Coturnix japonica: one gene and its partner. The protein of the gene in region 2 interacts with the protein of the main gene of each other region in a pairwise test. Links are inferred from orthologs where the notes say so. Each region holds a gene or a part of one and is shown on either strand. Other genes may lie near its edges. The genes, in order: C17H9orf116 and FHL3.

The links.
Region 1: the proteins of FHL3 (region 2) and C17H9orf116 interact in binary tests that used the Homo sapiens proteins (3 or more experiments, as listed by UniProt). The two-hybrid records come from large-scale screens. The link is inferred for Coturnix japonica from reciprocal best matches to the Homo sapiens genes FHL3 and PIERCE1.

What each region holds. Positions count from the first base shown.
Region 1 is NC_029532.1:6,212,946-6,227,808, forward strand, and holds C17H9orf116 (UPF0691 protein C9orf116 homolog), read right to left. Parts: upstream 7,600-14,863; 5' UTR 7,575-7,599; coding exon 7,468-7,574; intron 7,384-7,467; coding exon 7,305-7,383; intron 7,001-7,304; coding exon 6,815-7,000; 3' UTR 6,482-6,814; downstream 1-6,481. Other genes in the region: PPP1R26 (protein phosphatase 1 regulatory subunit 26), read left to right, coding at 1-2,929, 5,824-5,878; MRPS2 (28S ribosomal protein S2, mitochondrial), read left to right, coding at 7,659-7,749, 7,835-7,964, 8,373-8,949. UniProt on the Homo sapiens protein: Microtubule inner protein involved in the attachment of outer dynein arms (ODAs) to dynein-decorated doublet microtubules (DMTs) in cilia axoneme, which is required for motile cilia beating.
Region 2 is NC_029538.1:3,101,940-3,118,054, reverse strand, and holds the start of FHL3 (four and a half LIM domains protein 3), read right to left. Parts: upstream 7,159-16,115; 5' UTR 7,027-7,158; coding exon 7,020-7,026; intron 1-7,019. UniProt on the Homo sapiens protein: Recruited by SOX15 to FOXK1 promoters where it acts as a transcriptional coactivator of FOXK1.

The DNA of each region.
Region 1 (14,863 bases), on a different chromosome or scaffold from region 2:
ATCAGCTGGAGAAGATCAGGAAAGAGGCAGGTCACACAACGGACTGTGTCCCTTTGCAAAGGGAACAACTTGATACAAAGGGTATAGCGGACATTTCAGCAAGCCTGACAATTAGCTCAACAAAAACTGCCTCACCAGAAACCTGTAAAAGCCCTACAAGCAACAAGAGGAAAGAAATTAATTCAAAGTCAATGGAATTAGAAAGCTCCAGCAATGACATTAACAGGCTCTTTAAACCACTGAAAAAAGCCAGGCATTTTGTACCTCCGGAAAACAAGATTGCTGCTTGTGAGCTCACATTGCAGGCTTCTTGCAGAGAAGACACATCTGCAGAACTCATGTGTGCAGAAGCTATTCTTGATATTTCCAAAACAATCATGCCATCCCAAATGGGAAGTGACAGCAAATCCCTCGCTGCAGACTCCTTCTTTTCTCCCCAGCTTCTCTCATCCTCTCATTGTGAAAGTGACAGCAGCCTTGTGGACAGCGATGATAGCATAGAGCAAGAAATCCAGGCTTTTTTGGCTCTGAAAGCACAGTCAGAAAGCCTTGTACCAAAGCCTCCTGGCCTGTCACACTCAATCCAGATGCCTTTGCCACCTGATCAAAACAGCCTCGCTGGTACCCTTGAGCCTTCTTTTCCCAAAACACTGAAACAATCACTGAATCGTAAAAAGAAACTTAAAAGGGAAGGCAGAATAGCAAAGCAGGGTGCATCAAAAGCATCCAAACAGATGGGGATGGGATTTTTCCAGCCAGAAAACTACTCAAAAGTTCCTGTGCTCCAGGAGGGAACCATGACCAGCCCTGAAGGACTCTGTGCTGCTCAGACGCCCAGTAGCAATGAGACTGAGCAGCAGCAGTCGACATCAACTGAACTGTCTGAATCTGCTGGCAAATGTGTGGCCTTGGATTCTGGAAATCCTTTTTTGCAGGTTCAGAGTGGTGCAAGAAAGCTTGTGAAAAAGACTATCCAAACTCAGGAGAGGGAGGGTTCAGATGATGAGAGCAGTTCTCTGGATAGTGATGAGGACCTTGATAGTGCTATTAAGGACCTTTTACGATCTAAGAGAAAATTAAAGAAGAAGTCTAAGGACCAGAAATCTCAGTGCAAGAAGAGAGTCACTTGTACTGAGACGGACAGTCAGCTGCTGGATGAGGTTAGTGACCTTCAGCAGAATGAGTGGAAATGTAAAAATCCCGTGCTACTGAAAAGCTGCCCCTCAAAATCTAGAAAAACTGTGAAAGAGAATGCAGTCAGCAGTCATCCAGGTAACATAAATGTCAGCCTTTCGAGTGAAAGACCAGAAGCCGTGAAGAACGTAGAGTTTGATTTACAGCTTAAAAAAGGGTGTAAACCTGAACCCGTTTCAAACCAGAATAACCTGCAGATAGCTAAAAATAGAAGAGGTTCTTTCACAGCTGCGTTAGGCACTGATGATAGCAGTTCAGTGGACAGTGATGACAGCATTGAACAAGAAATTAGGAAATTTTTGGCAGAAAAGGCTAAGGACTCTGCAAGCAATTCTGAGGTGCAAAAAAATGAGGCAACTCTAGACCTGTTGACCAAACAAACTGCAAATAAAGGAAAAGTGAAGCAACAGTCAGTTGAAAATGAGACAGACTTCTTGCTGGGTCAGACTAAAAAGACTAAGGGCTCTCAGCAGACTGATGAGTTGAAGAGCTCTCAGAGAACCGAAGGGAAAAGTGCAATGTTACTTGACAGTGGGAAAACTGCTTCCTCTGCAGAGAATGTTTCTTTTAATACTACTGGTCAGTCAAAAGCTAAGCAAGGAATGGTGGGGGTTAAAGGTGTTGCTGCTGGTGAGTTACCTGGGAAAGCAACAGGTAAAAAGGATGTCCCTAATACAGAGCCTGTGCGGAAAACACTTCCACCTAAAAACAGGAAAAATGAAGGTTGTAAAAGACGAAAAGTAAGCAATGCAAAGTCTAGGTCTAAAAGAAAGAACACCTTTCAATTAAAGATTTCGAGTAAATTTATTGAAGGTCTGAAACATGCTCGGGAGAGGAAGAAATCCATGCTTTTGAACAAAAAGCAGAAATCAGAGCATTTGCTCAGCCAGTGCAGCTCATCAGGAACAGAGGTAGCTTCCCAGGATACAGATGTACTTAAGCAGGAAAAAGGAGCCCCACTGCCAAAAGGTGAATGTAGTGGGGAGAATAAGACAGCAATAAAAGAATCCAGCTCTTCTCAGAAGCTCACTGTGGAAGTGTCAGGTCCCCATGTAGCAGAAACCTGTGAAAGACCAGATGCTGCTCCTTTGTATTTCAAAGAAGCAGAGGGCTGCAAAAAGGCTGCTGCCGACTGGATGGATTCACATCTGAATCTCCCCTCACAGGAGCAGAGTGTGGCAGCAGGACAAGTAGATAAGGTTTGCAGAGAAACAAACAAAGCTGAGGACGTACAGATGGGGACTGAGGAAGGAGATAGCCACAAAGACAGCTGGGCAGATTCAAATGTCAGTCCCCCACTCCTACAGCACAATATGGCAGTGGTAGAAGCAGATAAAGTTAGCAAAGAAACATGCCAGCAGAGTATACACATATGTGGTCATGGAGAGAATAACCAGCAGGACAGCAGGCCAGATCCACATGTGGGTTGTGCACCGCAGGAGCTGAATGTGACAGCAGTAAGAGCAGATGAAGCTAGTGGAGAAGCATGTGCAAGTAACAGTGTGCACATGTGCGTGGAGAAGGAAGGCATTACCTGCCAGGACAGTGACAGACAGTCAGAAATAAAGGGATCCAGCTCCGGTTTGGAAGGCAAAGTGCCTGTCCTGCAGAATAGGGAACCTGATTGTGAACCAGACCAAGGCCAGGAAGTTTTAGAGAAGGATTGTACAAAATGTACTGACACACCAGCAGGGGACAACCCAGATTCCCTCATGAAATTAAAGGTATCAAAGAAGTAAGTACACTTTTTACTTGTCCTCCCACAGTAAGTCTTTAGAAAATAACTATCACTGTAATTCCCTTAATAGAACTTGTGACATGGGAGATGGTGGGAGAAGGCGATAAACGCGTATCATATACACACTAAGGTGAAAAATGCTTCTATATAACAGGGATATTGTGGATAAACGTGCTTAGGTTTTGTAGAATTTTGTAAATTATTTAAAGCCTTCTAAGGAAGTATTTTTTATAATGATTTTTAGTGCTTATGTTACTACAGAATGCTGTAGCTTTTGTAGATTAGGAGATGCCGCCTAATCATACTTTAAATTATGAGGCTTCTAATCATGGTTAAAAGGAAACCTGTCAGTTATTTGTCGGTCTGTGAGGAGATCCCAGGCAAACACAGCAATTACTGACAGCGCAGTGCTTTGGAAGCTCACTGCCTGCCATGTGTTTACACTCGAGCTGCCTTAGGACAATCCTGTGTCCCCAGGGACTGCAGAGTGAACTCACCAAGCAGAACTCCAGCAGAGTGGATCTGTGGATGTCACTAGGCTTGGGTGTAGCTGGGCCTGCAAGGCTGAAACAATTTTCTCCTTACCCTTGAGTCTAATTCTGATGCCCTGCAGTTACCCAGCACCACGTTTGGATTTTTCCAAATGAACTTTCTTCAACTGAGTGCCCTTACTTTTCTTTTTCAGACGTGGTTTTTAAGATGTTACATTGCTGTGAACTTTCATTTACAAGTTTTGTGCAATAGAGCAAAGCTATATTTGCTGTAGGAAGTCCCCAGCAGAAACGCCAAGGATATTTTCAGCACTGTTCTTTCATACTTTAGAGAGTTTTCTCTTTTTCCAGCACCCAGAATAAAGCAATTTTTCACTACTGTCTTTTCTATTTGAACTGACTTTAAATGGCGTTCGAGCGATGCTTTTATATCGTGATGGAAGTGTTCCACACCAGCTCCACTCAAAGATCCAAAAGGTGTGAATTGAAGCTGTTGACTGGTTCTTTCATTTTCACTTGTGTCTAATGAAGTCCTCTGAGTAGTTTGTTCCTGCACCTGGTCCTGTGAATCGATTTGATGCTCTCTTTATTCAGTCTTCTACTGAGCTTGTAAGCCAGACTACCATTTTGGCTTACCTCGTTTCTTAATCACTTCAGCAGTCTTCCTAAAGGCTGGCCTTAATGTTCAGAAATGGAGCGAAAGCAGTCAAGAACGGATCCAGTATCACTTAATATCTCCAGATGTGATTGCATTTGCAGAATATTGGCAAACTGCAGCGTAGCATAGAGTAGAAAAAGGAACTGTGGCGTGTAGAGAAATAGAAGACATCCTTTGTGTGTTTATACTGTCGTGCAGTTGCATTTTAAACATACTTATAGCGGTCACTTGGCATTTCTTATTGTCAGGCCACCTTGGGCTGGCTGGTGGAGGAGTTCACTGCTGGCTCACTTCATTTTTGTGGTAGGATACGTTGGAAAAGTGGTTTTTAACTTAGCTCATGCCTGCAGGACCTTTGCACAGGCATGTCTCTGTGTCTGCTTTGATTCAGTTGCAGGATTTGGGCATTATTGTTTGAGATAGGTGAATAGGCTGTATTTTAAAATAGAATTTCTCTGAGTACCTTGCTTTCAAAGGATTAAACCATACTTAGTAGCGATGGTGGAAGCACTATGTACCATTTGTATGAAATAAGCTGGATGTCTTTCAGTGTTTTTCACTAACCCAACCTCAAGATTTACGGAGGTGTCTTGTGCTCCTGTTGGTGTGTCTGTGTCTCTCAGTACTACTTGTGAACTGATTCACTTCCAGTGAAGATGCAATTCTGATGACCTTGTGCTTTAAATACAAGCTAATTTCAAGCAGCACTTTTTTAAAAATTAATTGATAAAACTTGATTTGTATATAGGAAATGGTGTACATTGATACGTTTATAATGTTTAATAAATGGGGTTCTGACTGTGGACCATGAAGCCAGAGTGCTTGTGTGCTTTGTGTCTCCAACATGGGTGAGCAGTGTGTTGTGTTACAGCTTTTCCCTCCTGTCTGTAGTCCAGAGATGCAGTTTATCCATGTCAGCATCACCTGTTTGTGAAGGATGTCCCCCCCCTTCGGAGTCAATCCAGTTTGTTTTAGCTGAACCTCAGAGCAGGGCCACGGCTCCTCTGCTGCTTCTCACCTTTCATCCTGTTCTCTCAGCCACCAGCAACCTGAGGCCATCATCGCCTGGGACAGCAGAGTGTGATGTCCTTGTGAATGAGATCTTAAGTGATGTGGCCATTTACAGGAATGTTCTTAATAACAAGAAGAAAAGAAGAATCTCTTATCAGCCAGCCAGCTGACCCCATTTTGGCTTCTCCATTGATGGCCATAAAGGCACTGGTTGAGCACCATCCTTATTTCAGCCCTCACAGGGAATTAATTTGTGCAGTTTTGGCAGTATATACAAGGACAGAGCCATGGGGTTCAACCTCAGGACCAGAAGGATTGCCTTCATTCTTCATAAGCAGCTCTTGGCTGCTACTTTAGGAACCTGTTTCAACTCATGACTGCTTTATATAAAAGGAAGAAGCACTCCATCTCTGCCACCGTCTCCTTTATTAACATATATGCTCAGGGATGGCTGCAGCCAGAGCTCACACACTGCTCCCTTCTCAGCCAACCTCAGTGGAGCACATGGGGTAACATTACCCCAACACATTAAAGGATTCAGGGCGATGTTTTAGATTTGAGTATGGAAAGAGATGGAAAATAGGTGTCAAAACCCACTAAGTTTATATTTCTGAGAGCTCCATCCTTAAATTATTCCACCTGCAGGAAAAAAAACCTGTGGATGGAAGTATTTGTAAAACTGACACAAGTGTTTGCATTAATTCTGCCCTTAATGTTACTTCTCATTGCAGGAGAAGAAAGAGAAGAAAAACTCAACGCATTACCAAGAGTCTAACGGAGGAATAGCAGCGATTGAGAGAAGGTTGCTTATCTATTTCAATGCGTTGAATATTTAAGAAGTTAACTTTTCAGGCCCATTTCTGTGCCCAGTATTTACTTGTTCATATACATTGTTATGTTTTTAGAACTTAGCTGGCTGGTTTTGCCTTTGAGATAACTAAATTAATTGCAACGTGGGGTTTGAAGTGTTTGTTAAGCTTGTTTGAACCCACCACAAAACACAGGCTTAATGGCAGGCTGTTCAGTTTTGGACTTCAGATGTTCAATGACTTTAGCTGAACAGAGTTATCTGTTCTTCCTCCAAAGCTAAACGAGGCCTTAACAAGCTGGGAGTCCTGTTAGAAAAGCAATACAGAGTTTGAAGTCTGGGGAGGGGAGGGGGGGGTTCTACTGTTATCTTTAACCTGCTAATGCAGCTGTTTTGTCACACTGTTACCAAGCTGAAAGATTCTTTACTGTGTTCAGGAGGAAAAGTTCTCATTAAATTCCAGTTTAACCATTTTAACTGCATGAGTCTGTGTGTTATCCTGCTCGCTGTGCCCTGTCAGCTCTTTTTGACAGTCTGGGCTGTTTCATTCCCCTTAGAAATAACTGTCAGAATCACTTATGTGTTGTGGGCTCCTGCATATGTTTCTTTATTAAGACAACAGCTTTGAAACAGCTCTGCAAATTTAGGACACCCACAAGGCCACAGCTGGCCTACAGGCTGAATCTCCTGCTCACATCCCACGACAACCCACTGCATTCAGGAGAGATAACCTGCAGCCTGTGGGCAGCAGCCATGGCTGTAACCGAACCAGAGGAACGTGGTGCTTCACAACGAGGTTTAGCAGCGGGTTTGGGGTAAGGTCGGTGCTGTCGTTTCCCTGACTTTTTAGATGGGGAGGGAGTGATTTTTTTAACTAAACAGCCGGCAATAAACTGAAATGGTTTCATTCTGCTTCAGCAATGCGAGGGCCCGTTGACTTTGTAGCTGGGGTGGAAGTCGAGGGTGTCGTAGGGGGTGATGAAGTTGGCAGGGCCGGTGACACGGCTCTTCTCCAGGGCGGTGTTGAGCCCGTCGTTCCGGTACATACCACGCGGTCCCAGATTGTCTGAGAAGGCGTGTGAGGTGACGTGGTAGGAGCTCTGAGCAGGAAAAGGAGAAAGAAACGAGAAGAGACGTGATCAGCACCAACACCAATAGAGCCTGCAGGAGCTTGGACAGCATTCTAAGGGCACTTCATCACAACGCCCCTCCAAGAGCTCATTGTGATGGATTGAAACCAAGGTGGTGGCTCAGAGCCGCAGGGTCCGAGGTGGGGTTGCCAAAATGAGGGTTAGGGTGTTGGGCAGGAGGAAGGTTCGCAGTGCCCTGGGAGGAAGGTTAGTGTGGTGGGACCCCAAACCCATCACTGTGCAGATGATGCTCAAGCTCCAGGCTCGCACCTACCGGCACTTCGTACGCAGTGGGCGCTCTGCGGCCGTACTCCTGGTTTGTCGTCCGGTACAGAGGGTGCGGCTCCGGCTGCCTGCGGGGATACACGGCATCGAGGCGGGCACAGGGCAGAGGGGCTGGGGGTGTGGGGTTGTGGGGGGCACATGTATGGGCTCACCCGTATCCGCGGAAGCCGGAGAGCTGCAGGAAGCGTTGGGGCAGCGTGCTGCTCACCCAAGGGCCGCTGCGGGGCGCGGGGCCCTCGGCGGGCTGCGGCTGTGCCATGGAGGGACGCGAGACCGCGTTGCCAGGCAGCAACTCAGAGGAAGCGGAAGGTTCGGCTCCTCTTCCTCTTCCTCGGGCACAGCGATGGCGGTGATGCGGTTCTTAAGGGCTGGTGAGCGGCTCTACAGCGGCCTCCCCGCCCCGGCGGCACTGACGGCAGCGGCTCGGCCCCGCGGTGAGTGCGGCACAGCCCCGGCCCTTCCCCTCTATCCCGGCCCTGCTGCACGTTGGGTTGCAGTGATTTCTCTTTATTCCCCCAGATCTGGAGGACAAGCTGCTGACCGAGCCGCTCCGCCACCCCGATTTCTTTAACGTGAAGGAGCTCTTCTCACTGAAGGATCTTTTCGATGCCCGAGTGCACCTGGGGCACAAGAAGGGATGTCGGCATCAGTGAGTGATGCTGTGTGATCCTTGTGTTTCTATAGGGCACACGAGCCTTTGGAGGCAGCACCAAACCTGGGACTGCCTTAGCAGGGTCTGTTGTGATAGCACAAGGGGAGATGGTTTCAGACTAAAAGAGGGGAGGCTTAGACTGGGTGTAAGGATACAGGGTTGGGTTCTTTTGTTACTATAACAGCAGTGAAGGAGACACCCAAGGTCAAGCTGCAGGGGCTGTGAGCACCTGATGGAGCTGTGGGTGTCCCCATTCAGTGCAGGGAATGGGACCAGATGGCCCTTCCAACTCAAACACCCCTCTGATATCAGCAGGCAGTTGGGCCGTGGGAAGGTTTCTTTAGGACTGGAAATCTCTCCTTCATGCCAGTAGCCCTGCGTGTCACCCCCCCTTCATCCCTGCAGGTTCATGGAGCCCTACATCTTTGGCTGCCGGCTGGACCAGGACATCATTGACTTGGATCAGACGATGCAGCATCTCCAGCTGGCCCTCAATTTCACCGCCCACATCGCCTACCGCAAAGGCATCATCCTCTTCGTCAGCCGCAACAGGCAGTTCTGCCACCTGATTGAGAGCACAGCACGGGAGTGTGGGGAGTACGCTCACACACGTTACTGGCAGGGCGGCCTGCTCACCAATGCCCACATCCAATTTGGTCCAGGCATCCGCCTGCCCGACCTCCTTATCTTCCTCAGCAGCCTCAACAATGTCTTTGAGCCCCACGTGGCCATCCGGGATGCTGCCAAAATGAACATCCCCACGGTGGGGGTGGTGGACACGAACTGCAACCCGTGCCTCATCACTTACCCCATCCCTGGTAATGACGACAGCCCCACTGCCATGGAGCTCTACTGCAAGCTCTTCAAGATGACCATCATCCGTGCTAAGAACAAGAGGAAGCAACTTGAAGTCTTCCAGGAGCTGCAGAGCCAAGAGAAGAGTGATACAAACCGCCCTGTGCTGTCTGGTGGCCAGGCCTGACCATGGGGGCTCATCTCCATGCTGGAGGTGGGCACTCTGCTCCACTTTACAGTGCTGTACCCATGGCATCACAGGCTGTTTGTCACACAGGGACATTTCCAGCTCCAAAAGAATTAGCCCAGAGCAATCGGTCTAAGAGATGGAGTGGGGCCAGTGGGCAGCTCTGTGCTGGTTTGTTGTTGCCAGGAGCACTACTTCTGTCCTGTGACCTTCCCGTTGTGAAATGCTGCAAAGCCATTTGTATCACACACCACAAATAAATAAAGGGGCCTTTGATCCTATTCTTTCTTTCCCTGTTATGGGGAGGTGGGGAACTTTCTGGCAGAAACACTATGAGGGGATAAAGGTGTGATTGTTCCCACTTGGGGGATCTCAGGGCATCCATGGGAGCTCAGAAACTGCAGGGGACTGCCATAAAAAGGGCAGTGCTGCTCTTAATTATCCATGTGCCCCTTTAGGAGTGCTTAGGGTGGTGTCCTGCCATTATCCTGCCCCCTCGCCTCTATATCCGTGCTGGGGTAACTCCGCCATGCCGACCTCCCGTCAGCAGGGGGCGCTCGAGGGAGCAAAAGCGCAGTGGGGATTGTCCTCGCTGCGCTTCCGCCGCCCTCCCTATATAAGCGGGAGGCGGGAGGCGGTGCGGCCTTTTCGGCGTGGCGCTCGGCGAGTGTGGAGCTCTTCCTTAGGGCTGTGGTCGTTGCGAAGGGCCGACTTTAAGGCCTCGCTGCCCGCCTGGCTGCTCCTCTGGGCCCTTCAGGCTGAGGGCACGATGCCTTTTACCGGGGAAATGCAGCTTTATATTGCTGGTTACTGCTGGCTCTGCCCGGCGTGGGCGCCATGCTGCACTAGGCCTCGGCTCCAGACCTTCCCGATATCTCTTCAGGCACATCCTTAGGTATGTCACGACTTGTATATTTTTACAATGCGTACAACAAAACACTAAAACATACATTGTTACTAGTTTATACAGGCATATAGTTAATTATTTTAACTTCTCCTCTTTGGATCCTTTATTACTCAGGTCTTATTTGTCCAGCACCAAAAATCAGTGGTTCTATTTCAGACAGCTGGACAGACAGGAGCTGCAGTCTTTGTACCTAATAACTTCTACCTAATAACTACAAATTGCTTCACTTATATAATGAGACCTAGAAATAAAATATTCTTATCTTATTCTAAATGCAGAAACAACATTTGATTCCCACACTTCCAGGGAAGGAGGGGGAAAGCAGGGCTGCAGCCTGGTCTGCTTTAAAGACTGGAATAATTGTAAGGAATCCGTTTAAAAAGCGATTATTTTCCCTAGCTTTTAACTTTTGGATTTTCTGAACTGATAGGAAGAGTTACAGTTTAGAAAGGGGTTACTTAGTGGGCTCAGCATCCATTGTTAATCACATTCTTTCTCTTTTTATGCCCTTATTAGCATAGGACGAAGGGCACAGTGAAAAAGATGTTCCTTCCTGGAAAGCCGAAGGTAAGCAGTGCTGAGCACAGAGCTGCTCCAATCTAAATGGGTTCGTTTCTGTTCTGTATTGATTCATTTGCTTCCTGCCACAGGCGTTGCAAAGGTGGCTGCTGTGACATCTTTGTGTCATTAGGTGGCAGAGATGGACAGGCTGTGTTCTACGCTCGTTTGCTCTGCAACTGGTGAGCACTCAGAGTGATTGATAGCCTGACATTGCTTAGATACAGGCTTGTTGTGTTGGGTTTCTTTATTTACCCTTAAGTATGAAATCAGGGTGTAGTACAATAGAAAGCTGTTGTGGATGTCCGGGTGCTGGGAGATGTGTGCTGGCAGCCCCAGTCCTATTTCCTGTCTGGAAGTAAAACACATGCATGTAATACACATCTTTCTAGATTCACCCTTCTTTAGGACCTTTCAATTACTTGGCATCATTAAAAAAGAAAATGGATAACCAGCTTTGATTTCATCAATGCTATGTGTATTATCTGCTCTTTTTCAGAGAGAGGCAGGTGGTGTGGCAGAAAGGTCTGAAGAGGTCTCAGAAACCTGAGGTGAGCAGTAGTGAATAGCAGCTCATGCATTACACAGATCCATGCCCCAGTCGTGTTGCAGATATGGCTGCAGTGCCATGTTTGTGTCATTAGGTGGCAGAAAGGAAAAGGCTGTGTCTGCTAATGCTCTGAAACCCGTGAGCACTCAGGAATGACTAGCGACCTGACAAATATTTCTACCTTTCTCTGTTTTTCTGTAGCATTAACCTTAAATTGTGCAGTGTGGGCAATTCTAGCTTGGTCTGGAAGCAGTTGGGTGTGATGTAGCATATGGGGAGAAAACTGCTTTCTTCTGCTATTATTTGTTAAATGCTGTCAGCAACTTCTTGCCTTCCAAGGGTGCTGAGTATGTGAAGAAGGTGCAGTCAGCATCTTCTGAAATGTCTTAAAAACTGTGCTTGCTTTTACAAGGAGAAAAATGAAGATACTTTTGTGCGGTTACATGTGAGGACAAGTCTGAGTTGTCGGTCAGTTTCCTTCAGATTTAAAAGGTAGGTAGTATGCCATTGCTTGGAAACGTGACTCAGACCTCAGTCTGTTACTAAAATGATTTTAATACAGAATGCTGCTGGAAACGTGTCATGAGTTTGTGGTGTGGTGAGATGGTGGTGGAGAGATACTGAAGAAATAAGGTTGTGAGTGCTCTGTCCTGTTCCTCAAGACAAGATGCAGCTTCCTTATTTGTGTTGCTGAGCTCCACCACAGCAGACAAAATGTGAAAATTCAATTGCACGTAATTGAACACCATTGGGCTATTTTGCTTGGTTTTGCTGTGTTTGTGCTAGCATGGTGACAAGGAAATGTGACCTTTAGGGCAGCTCAGGTACCAAAGTGCTGCAATGGTTTGGTGCATCACTGTCATTCCTTGCTTGATGTGGTCCGTGGGAGCATCTGCTGTGCTGGTGATGTTTCCTAAAGCAAGTGAGAAGCTCTCACTACACACAGCATTGTGAAACTGCGAGCCTTTGCAGTGACTAATAGCTTTTTGAAATCTGGCACTGCTAAATGTTGGAAAATGTCAGCATTAAATGGGCATTACAAGGGCCAGAGGTGTCGTTAGCCGAGCGGGTGTCTGCTGGCTGCAAAATGAGCCATTTAATTGGGAAAAGGCACTGCCTTCCAGTAGTGGTGGTGGAAAAGAATGCTAATAAGGTGGTTGGGAATATGGTTATGTGTAGAGGCATGCACTGTGATGCAACCCCTCCATTTAAGTTTCGTGGCTTCTTTTAACCCTGAAATGCGAGTTGTGTTTTTCCATCAGCACTCACATCAAAGGGCTGTACAGGGGATGAGTGCCTGGTGAGGCTCTTTAAGACCTTTACATGTAAAGCATAGCATGTCTTAAAATTTCCCTGTTGCCATTTGCTACTAACTGTATTCCCATGACTGAGCAGCAATCCCAGGCTGTGAATATTATGTAAAGGCATAGAACCCTCCTAAAGTAATCTGAATTTGAGTGCTTTCTGTCACTGTTTGGATCTGGTCTGCCCAGGTTCTCAGGCACTCAGATTTCCATTGTCTTGCAGTGATTTCAGTGAGTGTAGTTTGGTTGTTCTGGGTTGAAGTATGATTTCTTAGCTTTAATACTGTAGGATGGTGAAATAGCAGGAGTTTCCATGGTATGGGTTAATTCTCTTCTTAGTGTTGACACTACTGCTAACTTTTATGGGCTGTATTTATTTGACATTGTTGTCTAACATCCTGTGTGCTTTTGATTTTCAGATCTTGCTCAACTTCTAGAACTTCTAGCAAGCCTGGCTACAGGAAAAGAAATGGTTTGGCATTTCAAGATGCAGAAAACTTCCATCTTATTCATACATGGGTTCAAGCAAGCTGCAGCCAATGCGAGTGCATGTAATATTTCCTTCCTACAAGTAATCTTAGCTTGTGCTGTTTTCACACCCATGTTCTGAAGCACTTGTTTTGACCATGTTTACCACATGGCTAAGAACGGTTTATAAAGAACAGTGCTAAGTTCTGACCTGCCAGTCAGAATTGCTTTATAAACACCTTAGGATCTAGGATGTGTTTGTGGATATGAGAATTGTGATTCTTGTTTTTTTAACCTTAAACAATAAAGTTTGTAAGCTTGCTTCCTACCTCATTCCCCTTCTAGCACTTAAACCTTTTGCACTGCTAAAGCAGCAGCATCTGTTCATGTTGGGTTATCAGCCTTTCAGTGTTCTGGCTCTTGCTCCTTTTCCAGTTAATGTGGAAAGTTGGGAGGAGGCGTTACAATGTAAAATAGCTTTGCCTTGAGTCATTTCTCTTCCATGTTGTACTGCAGCTCGTAAACCATAATCACTTGTTTGAAAACACTTGTGCATTGTGTTAGTGATGATGAAACTTGGTGCTCTTGGGATGTGTGAGTCATAGGTAAGTCTGAATCCCAGGTGCCTGTCCAGTGCTGGTAATGGGGAATGCAGAATAATAACACGTTAACGTCCTGGGTTTTGTCAAAAGTCTTTTATTTGAATAAAGTGTCTGAGCTATTTCCCTTCAGTACATGGGCTGTCTTTTCCTGAACAATTTCTCATTGTAAATGCCTGAAGATGGTATTTATGGTGATGTAGGTAAGCAAGAAAAGAATACATGTTTTTGTCCATCTCTAGTTGCTTACCTGCTGCTTTATGTAATAGCTTTTGGGGAGGGGAGCAGTGGGGATGAAATGAAGTAGGAGTGCCATTTGTCAGAGCAGAGTTTAAGGTTTGGAATAGATGGAAGGGTGAAAAATGGCTTTCTTGTAAATGAGATTTGGTATGGTTGTTAGGTTTTTGTTGCTCATAGCAGAGGGAAATGATCTTGTCAGTGGAACTAGTTGCCATGGGACAACAGGCATGGAGCTGGGCATAGCTATGTGAAGCCTCACTGAAAGAACTCCAATCCTTGCCCTCCCTCCCCACCAAACAGCCTTTCCATGCTGGCACAGGGATCTGTCCCTGCATTTAGCAGCACAGTGCCTGGAGGTGGAGTATCACCACTGCATTATGGGTGGCTGGCTCCAACAGACTGAATGACTTGCAACCTTTCAAACACACAGGAATTGTACAAATGATCAGCCTTCCCACAGATGAATGATGCTGTGGAGCTGACTCCTTTGCAGGGAGCAAGCTGTGCTAGCTCCCTGCTAGATTTAGAGCGCTGTTGACACTGAAACATATCCTTCATAAATAATAGTGAGAGGTAATGATGATCCTATAGAACTAATAGAAGGAAATGCTGATATTTATCCTCCAAAGGGCCCATAATTTTGCAGCTGTGACACTGCAGATTACCTCCACAGACCATATATATACTGTTTAAATGTATTCTTTTTTTTCCCCCTCAGTGACTGTACTTCAGATATATGCTCCACTTTGCTAAGCAATTGTTGGCAGGAGCAGCAGCATACACTGCCAGCAGAAACAGTGCTGGGAACAGTGCTGGGAACCGAGCACGCTTGAGGTCATCTGCATAAACTCTTCCTCTCCTACCTGAAGGTTTTGAAAGGTTGCTGCAAGAGAGCATTGAAAGGAAACAGAGAGCAGGTAAAGAGCTGCAGTATTTACACAGCCAAGCAAATGTTACCTGCTGAGAGGTTCTCTGGAAATTCATTTGGATAATGGGTGAAGAAGTGGATTATTCTGGCATTAATCTTTAACCTCTGCAGTGGTGACCCAGCTTAGAGCATTAAACTGAAAGGTTGGCTTATCCTTGTGTGTGATTGAACGTTGTGGGAAGTAACACGTGGAGAATATATGGTAGCTGGTCAGAACCAATCTGGTTGTAGCCCTTAGGTTTCCTTTAAGCTCTTCTTGCCTTATGTGCTTCCAAACTTGGCACGTGAAGGGGAAATGGCCCGTGTACCTGCTGGCAGACAGTTTGACACTACAGGCAGAAGCAGCTGGGTGGAGATCCT
Region 2 (16,115 bases):
AGCCTTGGCTTCTGTTGGTGAGATGCACTCAGTCCCTGAGTGCTGCTGGCCGTCCCTCCTTGTGTCCCCAGCAACAAAGCAAGGACAGTGAGGTGGGTGGTGATGCTGCAGGAGCGCATGGAACAGGGAGCAAAACCCATAGAGAAACACTTTGAAAATGGTATTTCAAGTTCTGCTCAAAAGCAATGGCCCGAATGGTACTATGCCAGAACCATACCCACCCTGCTCACAAGGGGCTTGCACTGTGCTGGTGTGCCAAAGACTGGGAGAAATGGGTGCACTGGAAGCAAAGCGCTGCTTCCTTTCTGCTTCGAGCAGATCTGGTTCTGTTGGTTCTAACTGTGAGGTGCAGGGTTGGCAGAACGAAGCATCACACGGCTGAGGCTGCTGCGAGAGCACACAGGATCAGACCCTGTGCTGCAGAGAATAAAACCCAGGCCCAGGAAGTTTACTCAGAGTTATTTGTCTTAGATAAGCTGCAAGGAAATGATCTGTTTGCTCTCTTTGTTCTGGTCATGCACGCAGCGTTGTGCAGCAGTGACAAATCCTGCACGACACCACAGCAAACTCCACATCTTCACCCACGGATGTGGTCACCAAGGCACAGAGAAAGGTGAGAGAAAAGAAACACAACAAAGGAATAGGTCGAAAGTCCCAATTTCTTACTGTGATTGTAACGAGGATCTGAGAAACTGTTTTAGTTTGTGAAGACAATAAGTGGAGTTTTAAAATGCATTAAAAATCTGTCCTGGCTTCAGGACCCTTTAAATTGATGCTGAGACTTTAGGGCTGTCACCATGCACACTAATCAGCATGTGCTGATACTCTGCAGTCTGCACCACCCTGTAAACACCAGTTGTGAGCTAGGCTGGTGTCAGCAACGCCTCCAGACACCAACCAAGGTGTTGCCCCAACCTGATAGGATTCCAAAGAGCGTTCACCCACTCACCCATCTCAGGACAAGGGCTGCCAGACTTGGGGCACTCCTGCAGCTGTCCGAGGGCAGAAATAACATCTCTCTGCCTGCCAGCTGCCCACCCAATCCTTCTGCCTGACAGAGCTGTGCTCATAGAGGAAAGGAAGCTCAGTTTCTCGCCTGTGCCCAAGAACAAACAGCTTTGGCAACGAGAGCTCCCCTCGCAAACAATATTTAAAGTGTTCCGGGATGCAAACCTGATCAGGCTGGAACAGAGCTCAGAATAGCTGCACGTATGGGAAAGGTCAGCAGTTCGCCAAGGACGCACAGCAGAGGCTGCTTTCTAATTAGAGAGTACCAGGCACGTAACACCACGCCGGTGTCATTGTGCACAGCAACACCTCAGAGGGCTTAGCAACAGCCCCAGGAGATCGTTACATTCATTTTAGTGTCTTGAACTATTATGCAAAGAATAGATCCGGGGCCAGACTTTCTGCTGCATACAATCACTTTAGAGTTTAAGCACTTTTGGAGTGAATTCGGGCTACCATGAGGTCTCACACACAGTGTGAACCTATAGTCCTGTGTAACTCCATATGCGTTTGTTGTTCGTTGTCAGGTCACAACCAGCTGCTCCACCAGGCGACCCCAGAGCAACCCAACAAGGCTATTCCCAGGGAAGCACTTAATCTTCCCAGGACACAGGAATAGAGCTGCCTTTATGTGTCGGGTTCCTGCCTCTCTCCTCACTCTGCCTGCTGCCCTGGCGCTCGCGCTTCACACCTACAGGCACGCGGTGGGCACAGTGCAGTGCTGCAGGACAGGCTCCCATGTAAGGATGAAACCTCCTGGCGAGGCAGCTTTGGAAGATGGTCCTCAACGTGCTTCGAGGTCAACAGAGGAGAATGCTCTTTGTTCCCCTTGGCTTTCCAGAAACATTATGGGTGCTGGAATCCGCGTGACATTGTTTCTGCCTCTCGTCCAACCCTAAAAGGGAAACCAGCTGCTCACTCATGGGAGCAGCACTGGCCCCTGCACGAGGCTGGGGATTGAAAGGCGTCCCCCTTCCCACCTCTGGGAGCCACATGGGGATGGCTTTTGCCCCTCTGCCCCTAAACTTGTGAGCTGTAGGCCTGGGCCAGCAGTCCAGCATCTGTGCTGCTGCAAAATGCTGCCTCCAGGTGAGAGCTGGGGGAGGCAAGAGGCTGCCAGACATTTCACCAGCTGGATCCTGCCTGCACGGAGCCCCGCCTGCTCCGAGCATCCCTGAGTCACATCCTGCTCACAGCTGCACCTCCCAGCTCCACGGGTGGCCCATAAGAGGACATCAGGAGCAGCAGAGTGTGAGCACAGCTCACCTGCACCACTGGGGTGCTGTGCCCTGGTTTGCAGGCATCCAAAAACCTGCAGTATTGTTGCTTCTCCAAGCACAAGGAGATAACTGCTGGCCTGGAACTCTGCAATGCATCCATCGAGATGGCTGCCACAGCTGTGAGGAAACACCCTGCACTGTACATAAGATCTGTGATCTGGATTCTCCTTTTATGCCTTCTTGCATCAGAATCAGTGGTGCTAATTCCGGAAGCAAAACGCATAACTTAAGTACCCAATGAATTGTGCTAGACCAGACACACTTCAGATGATCTGGAAAACAAATTGTTTCCTAGTTGAGATTAATTTCATGAACTACTATAAACAGTGAGTCAGATTTCCCAGGAAAGTCAACACACTTTTGAGAGACTGTATGCAGAATCTGCACTTTGCACATGGAAATAGCCTCACCCTTGATGTGCTTAAAGACTTTCCAGCAGACCTGGGCAGGCTGGCAGAAGTCCTCCCTGCTCCAGAAGCTGCTTTGCCCATATGGACATAGTAGAACTGTCAGGATGTGCAGGGTTCTGAGGCACTCCAAGATGCCGTTCTGGTTTTAGAGCACTGCTGAGTTCATAGACCTTCATCCCCTGGTAATAAATTCCTCATTCTTTCTCTGAAGATAAGGAAACATAAAACTTGACTAACATGAATGGAAAACCTGCTGCTACTAAGACAGGCTCTCACAAAGCAGCATCCCCATACAAGGTAATGGCACAGAGTTCTGAGCCAGTGTTTGTACACACTGTGACATTTGTCCTTTACAGAAAGAACCTCTTTTTAATGAGGCCACTCTGCAAGGGAATCCAACTTTCCACACTGCTGCGGAAAAGAGGGTGGGATGGACTGAGATTCAACAAACCCTGCCTTGGGTGGAAGGCAGAGCTGCAAGGACCCACTTGGAACAAGCACCCTGTGTCATTCTGCTGGCATGGAAACTCAACATTTCTTCAAGAGATCAGCTGTTAATCTTATTTCAAATGTATACAAAGTAAGCAAATTCTGTGCATGCAACAGGAAGTCAGGAATTGAAACCACTTGTCCCCCATGATTCAAACCGACCACTTAATTCGAGGAGGAAGTCCAAAAAGCAGAGCAGTTAAATACAAACACATCAGAAACTTCTCCTGAGCAAAATGAAGTCTCATTTACCAGATGGTCAAGAAACATGGGGCTTCAAAACGTGCCTAAGGAGATTTCTGCTGGTCTATGAAGAGGTTTAGGAGAGAGTGTGGCCCAAGTACCTGACCCTGTGCCACACCAACTGAGCCAAGGGAGGCCCCGCTGGCAGCAGCTTGCAATGAGCACTGCTGCTGGAGGTGGTACTGGCTGCAGTGTAGCAGCTGCAGACATGGCCAGGGTGACCATAATAGGAAGAAAGACACTGGAGCCAAGTTTCAAGGAGTGTGACCGAGCACGGGAGCTTCAATCAGAGGAGATTCACTGCTTGGGACAGTGACGGCTGGATGCATTAAAAAAGCCTGAAAAAGGAGTAAGAATCAAGTGGGCAACCGCTTTCTGAATGCCACTTGAAAGAAGGGTATTGTCTTATTCGATTATGGGAATAGGGATACCAAAAACATGCATGCTGAGAGCACACACGGTCTTTAGACTTGCCTCACTGAAGGCACCATGCTTAGGGAGTCTTGGCCTCAACTGCAGTGCTATTAAGATAGATGGGCCTGGCCGTTCCCATTTGGAGAACCTGCTAGTAGCAAATCCACACATTTCTTTAGTTTCCCCTTGTTTTCCTTTTTCAACTAGAAAATCAGGCAAGAATAAGGAATATATTTATTACGCAGGGCTGAATAAACCTTTCAGATGCACTGAGCAGACCGTATGCTTACCAGTGTCCTACTTGCAAGAGAACACAAACAAACCCTAAAGATAGTCATCAAAACAAATTAACGGGCAGCAGCTGGCCTCCAGCCCCTAGGTTTCATACCAGGTCCAGGCAGGAGCTAATCTGGAAAGTGCCTGTTGCTTAGAGGTGGATTAATCTATCAGTAAGCCTCCTTTGCCCTTGTCGTTACAAAGTGATGGACAAGAAAAGGTGGTGGGGGATCGTAACTGGATGAGGGTTCAACTAGAAAGTCATAAAGAGGGTATATATAAATGCAGATGAAACTGCAAACTGGTGCTTGTGGGCCTCGTGTTACCTCGTTGTTGTAGCATTGCTTTTCTTGCTCTGTGTGCTGTAGCCCCGTCCCAACCTATCAGGATCACAATGGGGCACCTGCGTGGAGGCAGAGTTCTCCACCAAACAAATGTATATCAAATATACGTCCACAATAAGACCAATAAACCAACCAGCCCCACATTGATGACCATAAAACCCAGCTGACTTGGTCCATGGCCACACAGACGCCTAACTGCTTACCCAACTGCAGGATGAAGGCTCCAGAAACAATGTCTCAAAACCTCTTTGCCCCAAGAAATAAAGGTCAAAACAAATACACTACAACTCAAACATGAAAGCATGACAGGAAATGACTAACTGCACACTGAGGCCAACTTACCTTCGTCTTAGATCTACCCACTACACAAGGATCCTGCAATACAAACAGACACCACAGCTTCCATGCAGAAAAAAGAATCAGGCTGCTCGAGGTGCTTGCTATGGGGTGCAGACATCACTGCAAAACCAAGGCATTCTGCTTTATTTCCCTAATGTTCTCTTACAATTCCAGCTCTGTGCTGTAGTTTTTGTTTCCTCTAGCTGTTTTGAGGATGAAGCCATTCTTAGTTCAGAAGCAATGAATAATTTAAATTTCTTTTTACAAAGCGTTTTGTAGTCCCTGAATAAAAGGTTACGTCTCTGTTTTGCACAGGAGCCTCAAGCTTGTCTCTAAGCATGCATGAAAATCAACCCATGGACAGGCTGCAAGGGGTAGATGCAGCCATGTGCATGCGTTGTGCATCTATGCTGAAAAGCAATCCTGCATGGTCTGAGCCCAGCCCTTATTAATCACCTTCACCTGAGAGCCTGGCAGCCCTTTAGTTGACTAAGGATCCATTCAACTTCAGTTTTCGTTGTTGATGCTTTATTAATACACAAAGTAACTTTGATCTACAGGAGCAGGAAAAGACATCTAGAACACACATCTTATTTAACAATTGCCTATTGCTTCAAGGGCAAAAGGATTTTCTTTTTCCCCCAGACCAAATATTCTCTTTCTGAGTCAATTCCCTGCCTCCCAAGCTGTAGCATTCATAGTCTCCTATATAACAGTGATGCTGAGGAAGGTGGATGGCACCGCATCTGCATACAAAACCAGCAGAGCAAAGCAGAAGCCAAGGTGATAGGGGAGACACTGCACTGCCACTTGCATGCCATGCAGCTGCCTTCTTGCTGTCTGATCACCAGCCAGGGACCTCTTTGCCTCTGCCCTCACTTCTTGTGCAACAGCCTGCAGTCCTGCCTACCACACTTCTTACAGCTGCTGTGTCCCTCGCAAGCAAAGGCAATTACAGCTTTGTAACCCGCAGCATGTGAGCACTTCTAATTCTAGGGAAGGACTGAATCCTGGCAAAGACAAACTGTCTCAGGTTACCATCCCAAGAACCACTCGCCTGTGGTCCGAAACACAACTAAGATCTTCTGTTGCCTGGGAGATGCTGCATGTGCCAGCTGCAGCCGTCCCTAAAAAGGCAGCACTCCCAAGGACAGCGAGCCAAGCTAAGAAGGACATGGCACGGGAAGAGGGAGGTCTCCTGGAGCCATTCTCCTGCTAATGTAGACATAAAGTAAGTTTCAACCTTCTAGAGTTAATCATCTCTCTGCTGGGTGATCTGCTCATCAATAGTCTCCTTGGTAAAGCACTTCTCACTTAGACCCTTAGTGCTGCACGCTTTAAGCTGCAGAAGTTGTGATTATTGTGTATTCTACATAAAACCTCGAAGAAATAACCCACTGCAAGCACTAAAAATAAATGTGCAGAAACCCACATGCTTTCCAGTTCCTGCCATACTTTGAGATGCAGTCTTTGGTGGTACTTCTGAAAGGGAAGACTTGCCACATTCAAAACATACAGTGAAAGCAGCTATTATAAACGGGCACAAGCACTCACAAAATAAAGCGTAAATGCCTCTACATCACTAACACACTAAACATGGAGTTTCCTGTGTGTGGAGGAGCCACAGCCCCAAGCCCTGCTGCTGGCAGGTGCCACTGCAAAGTACTTTTGCTGACTGCCCAGAAACTCAAGAACAGCTGAAAAGTGCTCCTTTGCAGAACAAACACACAGAGATAAGAAAGAGTAACACTAACCAGCCTTTGATCCAGGCCTGTGGCTCATTCACAGAACCTCATAATCATGCTTAAATCTGAGATATACAAGGAGACCCACATAAAAAGGGATAGATCCAAAATTGGACTCTTCGAAACTTCTACATGAAGACTTCCACACAAAGAAGAGCTGATGTCTCAGCCCATGAAGCAGAGGTTGCAAAAGTACGTCCCATTTCTTTGCTGTGGAGGAGATGCTCCACACTCTGTCCCTGAAGGAAGAAGCAATAGCAAGCTGCTCTCTGCCAAGAGTTGCAGAGTTCCCAGGGCTGGCTGCATGCTCCTGCACTCCAGCACATCGGGCTTCACTACAGCAAGAAAACACCAGCACCCAACAAACCTCCCTCTGCTCTCCTCGTAGGTCAGACCAAAAACCAATCTACTCACAGTCAACGTGCCCCAAGCTGGCAGAGATTGGAACCCAAACCTCCAGGCTGTTGTTACCTTGCATTGTGGCAGTGAAGGATCTGTGCAGAGCCTGGGGATGTGCTGGGGCAGCTCCCACTGACTCACAGTGCAGGCACTATCAGCAGGTGCAGTGCAAGGGACTCTGTCCTGTAAGCACCTCACTTGTAGAACGCTCGAGTGCTCGCCCAGGAACAAAAGCAGCCACATCATAAACCAGATGGTGACATCAGCACTGGGATTTTATTTCCTGCACAGGTTCAGATTTCATTACTTGTGACATGAAATTGGACTCTTACAATTCGAGTTACTCTATATTTTCATAAAGGGCGCAGGAATCCCTGATTCCAATTTGTTGGATATAAATTGCTTCTCAACCTCCTGAAGACAGCAGCGCTCACTGATTTCCACTGGAAAGGGTCAGTGCAATTTGTACAGCACCATCCACTTGGGGCCCAGCTGTTCAAAATCCCTGGACTGCTCTTTTCCCTTCTTATTCCAAGTTCTGCTCTGCATCTCCTTCCGAAATTAAAGCTCAGAGTTATCAAGGATCTGACAGCACGTATTTCATCACTCCTGGGTTGAGTCATTGTTTCGGAGCACAGAGCATGATGCAGTGTGTGCTTATGGTCCAACACCTCTGCCAACATGAAATGCATTTCTGATTTTCCACATACAGCTGCTCAGGCTCTCCAAAAGCAACACATCCAAGACTTCTATACAAGCCCAACAGGCCAGAATTAATCTTCCTGTGCATTACATGATGTTTGCACAGGGTTGAGAAATACTAGAAATAAAAGTTCTCTTGGCTGAGTTACATGCAACACAGTGTACTTTCTGCTATTAATGACTTCAATAAGTACCTCTGACACTTCACATATTCCAGAAACCTCTTGTTTAGGCATCACAGCAGTTTTCTTAGTAGAAAAGTGTTCACTGAGCTAAAGTTAGCCACCGAAATGTCTTAGATTTTAATTACTGCCTTTTCTATTTGAAGTTTAATATGCTTGGAAAAGAGGCAGGTAGTAACTAACCCTCACCCAGGACACAAACTGAAGATTAGTTTGCTTGGAAGGAGGTTTAACTCCCTGACATCCCATCACAAACAACACAAGTACATATGGTGACCCAGTGCAAGACCATAAACACCAGAGTGCTCAGTTTCCACAGACCTGACATCCCATTCCTCTCACAGGATTCTTGCTTGGTCAGTTCCCCAGCAGCTGTCACCAGCAGGAGCACTACTTACCCTTACAACACCTGCAGGGCACGGAGCTATTTTATCTCCCTCCTGGGATTTGCACCTCAAAGGTTTTTGGCACAAGGCAAGCTTGGCAGGGCTAAAAAAGGAACTAAGATCCACGTTGCTGGCCAGCAACGGAACCAGAAAGCTTCCTTCTCCTCCTGAGATGCAGCAGCATGGAAAACATGACGTCCACTCATGCATGCTACAGATCTATATCCAAACAGAGCCCACAAGCTGTTCTATGTGAGAAGCAGGGGGGAAAGAAAGGTTGAGGTGAGCAGACCCAGCACTGTGGCTGAACCTGGGCTCCAGACCTTTCACCTGAGCAATGAGGAGTCTTTGTGTGTAGCTCCCAGCACTGGAACTTTGGGCTTTCAAAGCAAGAAGCTGGAATACAGCACCGCAGCAATGTAACACACAGGGCTACACCTCAGCTCAGGCTGTGTTAAGTCTTAAGACCCATTAAAACCATTTCTTCCTTAACCGAGGGCAGTGGAATTCGAAGGTGAGGTCAAAAGCCCAACAAAAGCAGCTCGGGGCAGTGCCTGGGAGCTCCACTCTGACAATAGAGCTCAGAGACAGCTCGGGGTCTCCTCCCTGTTGTTTTTTCACCACCCTTGTATCCTAAGTGCTACGTAGGAATCCTGCCATCAGCTGTGGACCTCAAAGAGGAATTTCTGTCCTTTCAGATAGACATTTACATTGTTATTTCCTTTCTTTTGGTTCATTAGAAGAGCCTAAAAAGCCCCCTGAAACAGACATTTCTCCCCTGTAGCACTGAGCTATTGATACACTGTTCTGGTAGGAAATAGCACGATCTGCAGGCACCATCCAAACTGCAAGAGAAAATACTGAACCCCAAACATACATAAGGGAAATCCTGTGGGCTTGGATCATTTGAGAAATAAGGTTGCTTTAAAACTACAGGAACAACACATGTCCACAATGGGCTCTGCACTGCAAAGATAGAGTCTGAAAAATCAACTGCCAGTTGCTTTTGCTATTTGCGTTTTGCATTAAGAAATCCCCCGAAGACTTGAGGAGCCAGAGCTCAGCCTGGAAAGGATTTTTATGGTTGCATTGCAAACACACAGAAAGCAGGGATCTCAAATGGAAAGAGGCCATTACAGCAGACATCACTCCCTGGCTCTGCTTGGAGCAGCTGGGATGATCTCTCCAGGTAACCAAATTACTGCTACTAAAACCCATGTTGATATTGAAAGAAATCTGGAGGGAGATGCCAAGTCATCACTCTTCTTCCCAAGTAACAAGATAAGAACCACGTTAATTGAAGAGTTTCTAAGTAAGCACTTGAAATTTGAGTAAACAGATTTTAAATATCGAGAGACCCTATTTACATTCCAGTGTAATAATTAAATATTTAATATCTCGTGGTTCCAGCATTCTAGGTTTTTCTAAGCACTGAAATATTTCGTCATGTAAAAAACATCTGTAGCAGCTGGAAGACATCAATTTGGCTTACGAAGATTTGTTAGTTTAAATGCACATAAATAAAACGCTCATTTTTATTTCCAAAAAGCTAACACTGCTTTGTTTAGTTTTAATAGGGTGTTTAGTGAATAATGTTTTATACTGGCAGGGTATATCAGATCCTACAGTGGCACAAATGCACACAGTTATCTGTTAACTAAAACAAGCCTTGTGTTTAGTTAGAGCTTGCTTGTATTGACTCACCTGAATCATGCAGAGCAATAGGAAAACCAGCCTGCTTATAGTTGAATCCCTACTTGTGTTCTTTCTCCCTAGTTCCCCAGCACTGAAATCTATCTTATAAAAACACTGGCAAGATGAAACTTCTCTTCTGAGCTGGGATTCAGATACCCATGGTACAGAACACCAGTGTCTGTGCATGCCTTTTCTCCCCTAAGAAGCTCCTGCCTAATCTTAGTGCAGAGCTTTAAAAATAAATCAAGTAAACAAGGGGCACTGCTGAGATCATAAAAGGAAGTTGAATTTGGCTTCATACGCACATGGATCACCTTTCTGGGCAACAGTTTGCAAAGGGTTATTTATTAGCAGCTCATTTTACTTCTGCTGGAAGATGCTGAGGCTTTAGCGAAGTTCCTGCAGAGCACGCAGCAGCATTCAGCGTTCGCTCAGCTAATAGTTAAATCACTGCAGCTCTCCGATGACTTGAAGATTATGGGTGTAGGAAAAGGGAATGCTCAGCAAGGGGAACTTTCAGCAGCCACCACCAAACTGTGGTTAAAACAGACACCAATGACTCCATTCAGCTCCCAAACCTCAGACAGTTTCCATTTTCTCAATAACAAAGCATTTTTGTGGGGTGAGGTAACAGGCCTCCATCTGCCAGGTCTAACTCTGCTATGATTCCTTCCGAATGCGGCTGAGTGAGGCCCTGGGGCCAGCAAGCACAAGGCTGGAGTCCCACACACCCAGGGACAAAGGGACAGACGTTGAGAAGAGCCTCCTGGGACTGTCCCACTGGTTCTGCTGGGAGATGGTTGCAATAAGAGCCTCAGATGGGCCCCAAGCAAAGCACAGCTGGAGGGCTCCGGGGACTGAGGAAGGAGCAAGACAGAGTCTGGGCTGGAGCAGAAGGCAGACGGATGCTGGGGGTTCAGCAGTCAGCCATCCATCACACGCAGTCAGACACATGGAGCATGGGGGTTTGGAAGCGATGCGGGTCTCTGAGCACACATTATAAGACAAAGCACAAACAGGGATGTAGCCTCCCAACAATTAAATGCTTAAGGGACGACTGCGCAGGCAGGGCTGTTCCTTCCACACCAAACAGCTGAGCCTCAAAATAGAGGGAAGGAAGGATTTTGGTTCTGCTCTTAATTTCTTTCTGCATTTGGCACAGCTTGTATCCCAGCATCTCAGTTCCAGGAGCACCAAGCACCTTTTGTTTCACATCAGCTCAGCTCTTCCTATAAACAGACACTTCATGCAGAACCACGAAGCCTCCCATCATGACCTCGGTGCCCAATTCTTTCCCATCTCTTGAGGCTTGGCCATCCACCCTGCGTAAGGATGGAGAACACACAGCTCCAGGCTCACTTGTGCAAAGGTAAAACCCTCAGAACAGCATGGCAACGAGTCTGGATGAGCTTGAAGGGAGAGCTGGCTCCACAGCATGCAACATCAGGAAAGGAACTTTATGGAGTATGTCAATCTTCTCATCTTCTGTTATGTTCTTTACCTTTTCCCCCCTGTCCCTGCATACAGAAGCCTTTAAAAAGCAATGCAGGAAATTGTGCCAGACACAGCAGCAGCTGGTACAAGTGGATGAGCAGTAACTTGGGCAGCTCCCGAACCCAGCTCACCTCCAACTTGTGTAAATAGCACCGCCAAGGGCTCTTATTTGCCCCGCTCGGAGCCCTCATTCTGCCTGTGTGACAGATGGCAGCTGAGCCCAAGTTTTAAGAATGACAATTGAGAGGGATTAAGAAATATTTACAGAAAATCCATCCTGATTGCATTATTTCAGTCTGGTACGTCAGGTTTGATATTTACAAGGACAACAACAAAGATTCCCAAGCTGAAACTGCCCCGAAGCCATTTTGCACAAATTTAATTGAAATACACAACCTTCAGATCTCTGACATTACTGCAATACAAAGAATCAATGAGGACAGAAATAACCAACAAGCCTGTAAAAAACACAAGGAGCAGCTCCAACTTTCCTCTCAACTCACCTGCAACCCAAATTGAGCAACGTGCTAATTAGAGAAACTTCACTCCCAGAAACACCAATTTGCTTAACCTTAACCCTTATTTCTGCAGGTCAGACAACCTCCATTTCATGCACTGATGCAAGCCAAGGAGAAGCATCCTAATGTCAGGAAACACAGAACATACTTCCAGCTCTGCTGTTGCTTTCCTGACTGGTCGTGCCACCTATATGTCCAAGTCTTCCAACTATGGAAAGCAAAGGCAATTCATCAGTTGGTCTAACAAGAGCCTTTGCGTTGCTGCAGCTGTTTGTCATGAAGTTTTGAAGATGGTAACAGTGATCTCATTGCTGCTTGGTTCAATAGAAGGTACCCAACTGGATACCTGGAGAACTCAGCTCACTGGTCTTTCCCAGCCATGACAAGACACCTCCCAAGTCTTCCTCTGAAGAACGTTGCTGTCACATCTCAGAAATCCACACTGCTAATACAAGCCTGAGCACAAGGGCAGCCAAAGAGGACATCCATCAGAGATGGGTTCTGCTGGAGAAGGCTCCCCGGAGACAGTAAGAATAGCACGCTTGATCCCAGATGGCAACAATACGCAGTGCACATTTCCAGCAAATCCAGGGATGGGGCAGAGAACTGCAAACTGACCAAAGGCCGCCCTGCTCTCTGCCATCTGCTCTCTAGATGCAGGATCCTCAGCTGAGGCCTTTGGGAAAGGTCAGCAGAGGCTTAAAGACTCTCAAGATATTGCTTTTGTTCTCACTGTTAGCTTCTCAATTCCTTTGTTAAAAGATACGGATCTCTCTGTAAGGCAGCTATTTGGAGCCAAGAGTTTAGATATGATTGCAAAACATATGCTTAAAAGAGACTGGAAATGATGTTGGCAGTGTTACAGAGGGGAGCGAAGCGCAGCTTTGGGTCAAAACAAAAAAAAATAAACCTAAGCTAGTAAAGCAATTCCCATGTGATGGCTTAGAAGAGCCAGCAAAAGCTTCTTCTAGAAAGAAAACAATACTGTGAGAACGAAGCTAACAAGAGCTGGCTCTTGGAAAAATAAAACGGCCAGTAATAAGCCAGAGTATTGCCAACTGCACATATCCAAGAGAATCTTTCTGGGAAACCAGCTCAAGTCGTTGCACTGGAGAGCCCTGAGGGACTAGGGACCTCGAGGCTAAATGCTGGCAAATTGCTTCATCAGTTAAAGTTGGTTTCAGAGTTTTCTACTGCATAAGAATAATTTGTTTTAGCCTACAGGTCTCTACAGAGCAACGGGTGAATTCAGGCTGCTTCCTCTGGGAAGGGAAACGAGGAGCTCAGCAAAGCCCTGCCCACATGGGACATCTTTAGGAGGCTTCCCACCACCACCACCATCGCTTCAGCCTGCCCTGTCAGCTTTGCTCTGCATTACCCCTCATGCCCCTCACCTGCTGGGAACCCCCCTCCAGCTTGTGCCAACAATAGTTGTCACAAAAACAGGATTGCTGTGCTTCCATAAAAGCATCTTCTCGAGACTCATTCACCCCAAATGGACGTAGTCAGAGCAATTATTCTGATGAAGCTTGTTTTCCAGAGGAACGAAGAGGAGACCTTGCTCTGTGTATCTCTGAGAGAGATTAGCTAATCCATCAGGAAAGAGACATACTGATGCAAAGAGATAACGGCAAAGCTTTCGTCTGAAGTCTTCTCTTTCATTTCCAGTCCACTTACTCAGACACGGGAGTATGCAGAGTACAGAAGACAACAAACGGGATCTCTAAATGTTCTTCTGCACTAGCAGAGAAAAAGCCTACACTGGCAGGGGATGGCAAGGCACTACCTAATGACCTTCCTCCTCTTCCAACCCCTTCTCTGATTCATGTTGCCATCTTCCTTCCAATTGACCTAAATAACATGTTCAGGCAGCCCTGGAAGTATTTCCGCCCCATACTTCAATAGCAGCAAGGTCTCCACATCTGGAAAGGGGATTGCTCAGGGAAATCACACCACAGTTGGCTTAAGAGTGCCTTCCTTTCCCAGGAAAGGAAGAGAATCACCCTGTCTTGTCTCATTGCACCAGTAAGGCTTCCTGGCTGCAGGGGAACAAAAGTTGCCCAGAAGCACAGAAAACAATTGTGCTGCTTGCGCCCAAACCCCAGCTAATCTGAACAATGTGGGCAGAGTATTCAATTACCTCATTTCCAGGTGTGCTGTCAGCCTGAGCCACAACTGGCTTGGGATGAAAGAGGAAAAGCTGCTTCTAGATCTGGACTTGTCTGCATCATTTATGGTAATTATTGCCCAGCAGCCTGTAATCTTTTCATGTCAAATCGCACCCTCAGCCCTTGGTCTCTCTACAAACTTTTGATGCCAGAAGAGGCTGAAGACCAGAATGCAGGACCCACCAGAACAGCAGGCACGTCATCCTGAGCCACAGGAAGGAAAGCAAAGCAACCTACACTACAAGGACTTGGGCAGTTCAGTCAGCTTCAGACACAAAGCGATTACGTGTGCTAGCAACATCCAAGTACTTGAAGCAGATGCGTGTCCAAACACTTATTCTACCTGCCCAGCTATTCACTTCAACTCCTGTAAAAGAACGTAGCATTCCATGGGAATCACAGGAATACAGGGAGAATCCAACCCCTATCTCTACATGGTTGTTCCACACTGAGTTTTTTTTGACCCTCTCCAAAACTCTTTACTGTGAGTTCAAGTATTTGTGATAACCCTGTAGGTATCCCACCTCTCTGCAGCACCCCAGACTTCTGGTCAACGTGTTAACTTGCAGCAATGGCCTTCACACTGCATTGAGTAAAAGAAAAGGTAAAAAAATCCATTGACAATGCATTTCTTGTCTACAAGGAAATGTATTGTTGGAGAATACAGGAAAGGCTTCCAGAAACGACACATGGATCCTGGGAGATCAATTTCTTCTTCAAAGTTCTCCTATACAGGAGAAAGGAAGTATACTTGATCTGTACCACCTCATTTTCAGGTAAACTGAGTTTCAAAAACTAAAGGAGAAAACAAGCAAGCAAAACTCACACATCTTTGTGCAGCAGCATGACTGTTTAGTCCATAACAGCTAGACTGTATCTGTTATCTCTCCATTTTTTTTTATTAGCTCCTGTTTACTTTGGCTGCACATCCAAGCAGTCATTTAACCAGGGTGAGAGAGGAAAATCTTGGACTCTTAACAATGGCCAAGCAGTTTAATCTGCCACTGGGGACAATGACTTGCCTCCTATTGGTGTTTAGTACTGGCAGGGTCAAGTGTAACATGTGGTGAAGGAAGCACTAGGGAAGCAGATCTGCAGCCATTCCATCAACACTGAGCATTTCCTTGAGCTATTCAGAGGTCCCTTTCCTCCTTGGGAGCAGAGAATGGCTCCAGATGTCCAGTCACCTGCACTGGCTTCTCTGCTCACAGGATTTATGAGCTTAGGGGCTGCTAACAGCTCAGGTTGGATGCAGCTCATTCATCTGGCTTACAGCTTAGATGCTCAGAACCCAGCTAGGAAGCAGTTAAGATGATGTCCTTGGATGGAAGCTGACTTATGCTCCTGAACTTGAATGGCACTGGGCATAAGCATCACCCAGCTTTTGTCCAGCAATGACCCTAATCAGAAGTGGCTGATTTAAGGATTGCTTTTAATCAGAAAATTTCTAAGTACTTTATATAAAATAAGTCTCAAACTTGCAAGCCTGTTACCATATGCAATGATACATCCAGAGCCAAATCAGGAAGCCAAAGAGATGCTACACTAAGAGCAAGAACATGAATTTAGGATCACTATTGCACTGCTATTTAGATCCCATACTTAATTGTTTCCAATAACTCTCAATTAAGAATTTTATGACTATTAGCTTACTCCTAATGCCCTTGTCCTGTTTCATCCCAGAGTAACACTATCCCTTCAGCGTGTTCCTATTGACTAAGGGCAGAATCATTTGTTAAAGCTGTCCTCCGTTTAGCAAACACCAACAGACACCAAGTGACTCACACAGCAGAGGCAATTCTGCAAGGATGAAATACAGGAAGGTGGAAGCCATGTGGCATTCTTCAGTTTCCCTTCTTTTTTGCAATCAGACCCTTGGTATTTTCTTCGACAGGAAAAACTGACACCCCCCCTTCCCTGTAAACTGCTGACAATTGTATTTTACACCTGGCAAAGCCAGAGCAAAACGGAAGGAAAAGAAGAAACAAAGAACAAGGACTTTTCTCAGCAACTACATCTCCCT